Mus musculus: one gene and its partner. The protein of the gene in region 1 interacts with the protein of each later gene in a pairwise test. Links are inferred from orthologs where the notes say so. Each region holds a gene or a part of one and is shown in the gene's direction. Other genes may lie near its edges.

Region 1 (5,779 bases):
GGCAAGGCATCTGTGCAGGGCAGCCTAGTTCCTGGCTGACTAGTGTTTTGAAGATTGCTTCTGAGTGGGTAGTGGCTCTTGCTAACTTAATCACCCATTTCAATGGCACCTCTGTATTAGTTGTGATGAACTTGTCCCATGTCATGAGAAAAACGGGGCTGACCTTGCCATACTGTTTGCTCTGATCTTGTTTAAGTGTGAGGGAAAGTCCCTGTGCAGAATAGGGGGCACCTGGTTTTATGTCACCTACATGGTCATCAAGACAGAGTTGCCTGTTAGAGGTATGGAAGCAAAGACCAAGGGTAGTTATACTATTTTCTTTCTGTTATAAGCTTTCAGTGAGGCTGTATCCCCAGAAGTAGACCAGAATGTGGTAACAAATGAAAAGGCATGTACAACACTTTGTGAAGTAAGAAATGCTACCTAGATGCAGGAATCTAAGAGGAACCAGCTTAGGAACTGGTTCTTTCTAAGACTCAAAGGGAGTTGCAGAATTGAGATACTGAAGTTTATTCCTATCCCTCATGTGTAGGATCTTACCAGCCCCTTCAGTTCTCACAGCAGTATGACTGACTAAACTGCTTGGGTCTGGTTATGGGCTTTCTTTGGGGGTTTGAGGGGTAGCATTTTAGCTAGTGGTCCCTGACCACCAGGAAAACTCTGGCTGTTTGATAGTTGAGATAGCCGAGCAAGACAGAATCAAAGTAGGGAGGCAGAGCCTGGTGTCTTGTCCTGCAACTAACTACCCTATAGAGAGAAAGAAAGAAAGTGTTCTGGGAATTAAGGTAAGGGATCCCCTGGGCCCTTGGACCGCATCTCTTCCTAAGTGTAAAATCTGATTTTTTCCCCCATCCATCTGACTGAGTATATGGCTAACTTTGCTTGATTCATAGCCATTCTGTGACACTTCTTAAAGCCTCTTCTCGATGTGCCCTCTCTTGGGAGGCTGTCTGCGGGAGCTGCAGTGTGCCAGCAGTCGGGCAAAGGACAGAAAGCACAGTGCGACTGCTTGTTGCTGGACGGACCTAGGCCACATCAAGGGCTGTGGGAGATTGGCAGCAGAAGTTGGGGGAGAATATGGAATCTTTCTTTTTTAGGGTTCTACAGCCTTAATGGGGTCCCTTTCTTTCCTCTATCCATCCCAAAACCATTTCTAAATCCAGCTGGTTATGGGTTTAGTCAAATGATTTGGTGAAATCACAGTTAAAGACATAGAGATTTGTCCCTTTACCTAACTCCCTTGGGCAGATCCTAAGCTATTTTAGTGACTTTCTTTCTTATGACTTCTATAAATAACTTAGCCTCCCCCCTCCCCCAAGAATAAGGATTTTAACAAAGGCTAGTAACATCCTGGCAAAGAGGATGAAACCAGACTTACTGGTTTTAAAATAGGGTTTGAATTGCATGGTCCTGGCACACTTGCTGGGATCTCTTGTACTATGTCTTTTATTTGGTCGTTAGCTTTCCCTCAGTAGTTTAGCCCACTTGCAGAGTGCACTCCTGTCCATGTTCCAGGGGCAGGCAAAGGCCAACTCCACTCTGTGGTCTGTGGAGTGGTCCACGTGAGGCGGCTCAAATGCCGAGTTTATGGGCTCGCTGCACACTTTCTTCTGCTGAGGGGTTTCATTTAGTGTGCTTTACAAGTCTGCTGTTTTCCTGTCCATTCCGAGGGAACGCAGGTTTTAGTTGTTGCTGTTTGTTTTGGTTTTCTTAAACACTAATTGCTAAAAGAGCTTTTGTTGAATTCAATCTTCAACTACTTCTCTGCTGGATTTATGGGGAAATTTAATGTGATCCTTAGGAGCCTCAAATCGTGAGATGTCCCAGCTCTTCCTTTGAGCCCAGTGCCTCCCGGCTTACTCTTTAGAATGTAGGTGCTCATGGGGCTCAGCCTGGCTCTCGCTGCAGTGCTCTGTGCAGAGTTGATTGAGCCAATGTTTGGCCTTCGTCACTTGCAGCGACTAAGTTTTGATCTGTGGCGTATAGGCCACGATCTGTGCAGACTGGCAGCTTTATGTATATCCAGACGAAACAATGATAGAAGGCACAGTACAGTTTTTTAGAAACTAGCTGTCTAAGAGTCAGGTGCAGAGTGGAACCTGAACTTTCAGGAATGATATCCACTGGGCATGCTCTGGACAGTCATTCAACAGGAGCTACTGATTGACTGATGTCCCTTACCTTGAAGCCTGGCATGTTGACATAGAGAGATTCACTCCATTTGGAGTCAGAACTTGAAACAGGCAAAAGCAAAACGGGCAACCACCACGTCTGTTTTCTTTCTAAAAGAGGCCCTGCCTGTTGGAGGGAAGAGAAGGGAGCATCTTGCACACGTGGAGCCAGCCACACAGCCTCGGCTGCTTTTCCCTTGGCTCATCTCTACAGAGACCTTTTGTGCCTCCCTTTAGGTATCTCACTCTAGCTTCCCCTAGCACGGGGCTCTCGGGCTTGTAGAACAGAGCCTCTTAGTTGCTTTTTCCTGGTTTCCAGGCTTATGTTGACACCTTGTGTTTTGTCTTTTGCAGGTTGGGTGGTCCGGACCCCTTGGACTATGTTAGCATGTACAGGAACATGGGGAGTCCTTCTGCCAACATCCCTGAGCACTGGCACTACATCAGCTTTGGCCTGAGTGATCTCTATGGTGACAACAGAGTCCATGAGTGAGTGTCTGCCATCTGCCTTTCCTTAACCCTAAGCCTATTTCTGAAGTTGTATTGAGTGTGTGTGATGATGTTGGTTCTGTGGGAGTGACACTTTCCAGTGTCACCTCTCTGGTTCCACCTTCTGCCTGTGCTGGACAGCCTGGAACTCGAGATGTAGGCCAAGCTGGTGTTGAATTTGTGGTGGAGGGGCGGCTTATGGAATTGCTTATGCTGGTCTTGAACTCTCCATCCTCCCGAGTGACAGGGTTGCAGATGTGTGCTGCCAGACTTGTATTCATCGTGCTTGGGTTGCCCACTTCACATGTTTAGCCCCAGTCTGCTATTCTCTGCCCTGTGCCTCTTACCCCTCTGTACTGGCTAGTTTTGTGTCAGCTTGACACAGCACAGAGAAAGGAGCTTCAGCTGAGGAAGTGCCTCCGTGAGATCCAACTGTAAGGCATTTTCTCAATTAGTGATCAAGGGGGAAAGGCCCCTTGTGGGTGGGACCATCTCTGGGCTGGTAGTCTTGGTTCTATAAGAGAGCAGGCTGAGCAAGCCAGGGGAAGCAAGCCAGTAAAGAATATCCCTCCATGGCCTCTGCATCAGCTCCTGCTTCCTGACCTGCTTGAGTTCCAGTCCTGACTTCCTTGGTGATGAACAACAGTATGGAAGTGTAAGCCAAATAAACCCTTTCCTCCCCAATTTGCTTCTTGGTCATGATGTTTGTGCAGGAATAGAAACTTGACTAAGACACCCTCTCAGGGATAGAAAGATGGCTTAGCCATGGCTCAAGTGGTTAAGAGCACTGGCTGCTCTTCCAGAGGACCCAGGTTCAATTCCTAGCACCCACAGGGCAGCTCACAACTGTCTTTTTTTTTTTTTTTTAAGATTTATTTATTATATGTAAGTACACTGTAGCTGTCTTCAGACACTCCAGAAGAGGGCATTAGATTTCGTTACGGATGGTTGTGAGCCACTATGTGGTTGCTGGGATTTGAACTCGGGACCTTCGGAAGAACAGTCGGTGCTCTTAACCACTGAGCCATCTCACCAGCCCCCACAACTGTCTTTTAACTCTAGTTCCAGAAGATCCAGTGTCCTCTTCTGACCTCTGTAGGCAGTAGACATAAGCAATAGGCACACAGACATGCATTCAGCCAAGACACCCAGACACATAAAATAATAGAAAATTAAAATTTTTCTTACTCCCTAATTTCTCTTTATAATCAACTAATATATGTTTTAATTCCAACACACATTTTGATATCAAGTAGAATATAATTAACTTTGTATTTAATCCTCCAAAATTACAATTAGAATAATTATAAAAGCTAACAACATTTTTTAATCGCTGATTATGCACCAGGTACTCTTGTAGCCATTTATATATGTGTGACAGTAATGAATTTAATTTTCTGCATAACACTTTGAATCTACTAGGTGATAATATTTGCCCCACTTAGTAATGTGAAAACATAAAGAGCCTCTATAACACAATATCTTTTCTGAGCAGTATGAGGGCCAAGATTGATTGATTGATTGGGTGATTGATTCAGAGACAGGATTTCCATGTAGACAGGCTGGCTCCGTAGGTCAGACTCCTTCAGGATCAAATCCAGGTCCTCAGGCATAGTAGGTAAATGCTGTGTCATGGAGCTATAGCTTCAGATAAATAGCCTATAGTCTAGGGTTTTTAAAGGCAAGTTCTTAGTATGTAGTCCTGACACGCCTGGAATCACTATGTGAAAATATTTATTAACACAGCAACATGGAAGCTATGAAGAACTACAACAAACTGGGAAGAAAACTATGATCGCTTTCATTAACATACAACCATCTCCAAAGACAGTCTCTACCGAGTCAGGACAAGAGGAGCCTTGCGACTTTTTTGTTTGTGATTTTGAGACAGGTTTCTCTGTGTAGCCCTCTCTCTTCTGGAGCTCACTCCGTAGACCAAGCTAGCCTCAAATTCACAGAGATCCACCTGGGATTAAAGGCCTGTGACACTGTCACCTGGCTGAGCCTTGCTACTTTTTCAACTGGCCTAGGCTAAGTACCACCTCCCAGATAGAAGGGTAGTGTAAGAGGTCTCCCTCGTTATCTTGTTGTTTGTTGCTGTCTTATCGATGAGGAAACTGAGTTACTTAAGCCTTGAATCTAGGCTATAAAGGAACTGGGATTTTCTTAGACTGAGTCCAGAGTTTGCACTCTTAGGTCACTGCACCATACCATACCAACCCTTTGCCCACAGGCCCAGGCTAGCTCTCTCTGTCTGTTGTTAGTGTCCGAGGCCAGGCCTCCTGTCTTTCCTAGCACATGGGGTGTAGTGTCTACTGTCTGCCTTCAGTCCTTCCAAATGGCCAGCAGAAGCCTTGGGGGCAGACTCAGTCTCGCCTGAGTGGGAGCTTTGCCCTACAGTATTTACAGTGGAGAAAGTAAAGTCTGTGCCATGTGTTCTCTTTGGGTTTTGGAGACAGGCTCTCGCTCTGTGGCTAAGGCTGGCCTAGAGCTCACTGTAGTCAAGGCTGAGCTAGGTCGGCTGGAGCTGAAGTTCCCAGCGGTTGTGAGCCACCTGATGCTGGGAGAGCAGGAAGTGCACTAAACAACTCAATGCCAGCGCAATGGTTTTGTAGGTAAAGGCCCTTGCTCCAAGGCTGATGACGACCTGAGTTTATTCCCCAGAACCCAGTGGGGCAGAGAACCAGCCCCACGGTTGATCTCTCATCTCCATACTCTTGACACAGTGCGTATATTCATCCTCATATACTGTCTTAGTCAGGGTTACAATGCAATGAGACCCCATGACCAAGAGCACTTGGGAGGACAGGGTTCATTTGGCTTATATATCCTGAATCCTAGTTTCTGAGGGAAGCCAACGCAGGAACTTAAAACCAGGCAGGAACTGATGCAGAGGCCATGGAGGAGTGCTTGCTCCTCCTGACTTGTTCTGCCTGCTCTCTTCTAGCACCTGGCTCCACCAGGCCAAGGTAGTACCACCCACAAAATGCTGGGCCCTCCTGGGTTAATTAATAATTAAGAAAGTGTCCAACATGTAGTGGCACATACTTTTATTTCCAGCATCCAGGAGGCCAGCCTGGTCTATATAGTTAGTTCCAGGACAGCCAGAGCTATATAAA
Region 2 (3,400 bases), on another chromosome or scaffold:
TCTAAGTACACTGTAGCTGTCTTCAGACACACCAGAAGAGGGTGTCAGATCTCATTGCAGATGGTTGTGAACCACCATGTGGAAATTGAAGGAACTCAGGACCCCTGGAAGAGTAGTTAGTGCTCTTAACCACTGAGCCCTATCTCCAGCCTTCTTTTTCTTTTTTTGTGTGGGTATTTTTCATGTGTGTCCATTAACCATTAACATGTCTTGTGCCCACAAGGGCCAAAAGAGGATAATGGGTTCCTGCATCTAGAGTTAGAGATGCTTGTGACCTGCCTCGTGGGGCTCATGGGAATCAAACCCAGGTTCCTACAAGAGCAGCCAGGGTTCTTAACCGCTGAGCCATCACCAAGTCCCCATTTTTGTCTTATATAGGTACAAGGGTAACTCTATATATGACAGGGAGGGGCCTAGGTGGGCGGGGTCAGGGTTGAGATTGACTGCGTCTCTAACTGTAGGGGCAGGGCCTCATTGGGCAGAGCCAGAGACTGACATTCATTCCCCTCGCAGGCGGATCGTAGACCGCATGGATCTTGCTGGGGACAGCGACGGCTGGGTGTCCTTAGCTGAGCTCCGCGCGTGGATCGCGCACACACAGCAGCGGCACATCCGTGACTCGGTGAGCGCAGCCTGGCACACCTACGACACGGACCGCGACGGGCGCGTGGGTTGGGAGGAGTTGCGCAATGCCACCTATGGCCATTATGAGCCCGGTATGCCCACCTCGCCTTTGCCCTTTGACCTCGCTTTTAGGATCTTATCCCTGATACCTTCCCTCCATTTCAAATGTCATTTGCTCTTCCTTCTGAAATCCAATCTATGTGACAAGTTGACTGGAGACTTCACATTCGTGGCAGGAATACTTAATGTTTAACCCTGTTATCCAGACCCATATGTGGCACTGGTGTCTTAGCTAGGGTTAATATTGCTATGATGAGACACTGTGACCAAAAGCAAGTGGGAGAGGAAAGGGTTTGCTTGGCTTACGCTTCTACGTCTGCGGTCCATCACTGAAGAATTCCCTATAGCACTGGTTCCCCACCAGTGGGTCACAACCCCTTTGTGAGATACTGTGTCAGAGATACTGTGTTTCAGATAGTTACACTACAAGTCATAACAGTAGCAAAGTTATAGTTATGAAGTAGCAACACAATAATTTTATGGGGGTCACCAGAACTTACTGGGCTGTATTAGAGGGTAGCAGCATTAGGAAAGAGACCATAACAGCCTTACCTATGGCCCAGTCTTAGGGAAGCGTCCTCTCAGTTGGGGTTCCCTCCTCTCAGATGACCCTGACCTCTGTCAAGTTGACATAAAATTAGCCAGCACACCTGGTTAGCAGTCTTCCTCAGTCTCAGCACTTGAGAGGTGGAGGCAGGGGGATAGCCCAGAGCTCAAGGATAGGCATAGCACAGGTGACTCTGTCCATCCTCCAGGGACCTTAGGAGACAGACATCTACCTCATTATTAGTCTCTCCCACCTTCAGTGTTGTGTTGATAGGGTTTCTACCCCAAAACTTTCTTCTGTGGAGTCCAGATCTCCTCAGTTCCTCAGTTCTCTGCACTTTACATATGCTGTTCCTCCTCCGGAGAAAAGCCCTTCCCTGCTGTCTGTCATGGAGTCAGAGCCAGTCACTTACTGTATCAGAAAAGAGCTTCGGGGCTAACCAGGCCAGTGTCCACTCCCAGTCAATGTCATTGTACATTCAGAAGAGTGGACAAATGGAAAAGGCCATGATCTGGCTTTGTGTGAGGATCAAGTGGAACATTGTAGGTGACAGGACAGAAAGCAGACTGGGGAGTGGGGATGGTGCAGCTCCCCTTTAATCTCAGCACGTGGAGGGAGAGGCAGGCAGGTCTCAGTGAACTAACGGGCTACCCAGTGAGCTCCATGTTAGTCTGGGCTACATAGTGAAACCCCATCATAAAAACAAAAGATTGTAGATGAAGACTATTGAGGACATTCTCAGGGCTGCGGAGTTAGTCTGTGACGCCACTGACTGTGTCATAGCCGATACAGGAAACTGAGTATATTACACATGAAAATTATTATTCTACATCTCTAGGGACTGAACCCAGAGATAGGAAAGGCTGAGCCACACCCCAGCCCCTCACTGGGGGATTCTAGGCAGGGGCTCCCTGCTGGGCTGACAGTCTTGCTTAGTTACCCAGGCTGACCTTGAACTTGCAATTCCCTTGCTTCAGTCTTTTAAGTATCGTGAATGACAGACCTGCCCACACACCCATGATGTGGCTGACACATGTCCCTTCTTACACTCTGTGGCAGTCCTTCCACTAGCTGGGTCCTTCTGTTTCCTAAGTCCCAGATCTCGCCTCTGTGACCACACATTCACCCACATCTGCCCTCCCCAGGAGAGGAGTTTCATGATGTGGAGGATGCCGAGACCTACAAGAAGATGCTGGCTCGGGATGAGCGGCGATTCCGGGTAGCCGACCAAGATGGCGACTCCATGGCTACTCGGGAAGAGCTGACGGCCTTTCTGCATCCGGAGGAGTTCCCTCACATGCGGGACATCGTGGTAGCAGTGAGTAACATTGTGCAGAACATGTTTCCCAAACCTGTCCTGGGTCCCAGCATCCTTCACAAGGATTCCGGGCCCCCACCATGTCTAGTCCCCATCCAGTGCCTGGCACCTCTTTATCAGACCTTCCTGTGTTCCATTAGGTGTCCAATCTCCAGCCTGTCCCCAGGCAACCATATCCTAAGAAGAGACTCATGTGAACACCAATTGTGTCCAGGCCCAGGAGAACACAGTTTATTTGAAATGCACATGTAACACGCTGTGATCTAATCATATCTCAGATACCAGACATGGAATGTACTTACTGGAAAGATGGCTGGGCGTGCAGGTGCTGTAGAGGCCACAAGAGGGCGCTGAACCACCTGGACCTGGAGCTACAGGTGGTCATGAGCTGCCCACTGGGTGCTGGGAACTGCACTCAGGCCCTCTGTGAGATAGCACATACTCTTCACCGCTGGGCCATGGCTCCACTTCTGGTTGCTATTTGTTCCTTGAAACTGGGTATTGACCAGGATGTGGGGCTTGCTGGTCAGATTAGCCTGGCTGACCAGCTCTCCCAAGGCATCCTCCTGTCTCTGCCTCCCCGGCTCTGGGATTATAAGTGTGTCCCACTAGCCCATCTTATGCAGGTGTTGAGTAATGCAATTCAGGTCTTCATGCCTATGTGGTAGCTACAGGGATCTTGTATGTTTGCTTTGTCTCTTGGGGTCCACTGCTAATCGTGATGAGCATTGAGCTCTTGAACTTGAGGAAGTGGAGTCTGTCTGTTTGTCTGTCTGTCTATCTATCTATCTATCTATCTATCTATCTATCTATCCATCTATCTGGGTTTCTGAGGCAGGGTTTCTCTGTGT

What was found. The genes of interacting proteins can lie anywhere in the genome.
Region 2: the proteins of Sufu (region 1) and Rcn3 interact in binary tests that used the Homo sapiens proteins (3 or more experiments, as listed by UniProt). The two-hybrid records come from large-scale screens. The link is inferred for Mus musculus from reciprocal best matches to the Homo sapiens genes SUFU and RCN3.

What each region holds. Positions count from the first base shown.
Region 1 is NC_000085.6:46,398,599-46,404,377, forward strand, and holds part of Sufu (suppressor of fused homolog), read left to right. Parts: intron 1-2,525; coding exon 2,526-2,660; intron 2,661-5,779. UniProt on the Homo sapiens protein: Negative regulator in the hedgehog/smoothened signaling pathway. Down-regulates GLI1-mediated transactivation of target genes. Down-regulates GLI2-mediated transactivation of target genes. Part of a corepressor complex that acts on DNA-bound GLI1.
Region 2 is NC_000073.6:45,085,814-45,089,213, reverse strand, and holds part of Rcn3 (reticulocalbin-3 precursor), read left to right. Parts: intron 1-513; coding exon 514-716; intron 717-2,376; coding exon 2,377-2,549; intron 2,550-3,400. UniProt on the Homo sapiens protein: Probable molecular chaperone assisting protein biosynthesis and transport in the endoplasmic reticulum.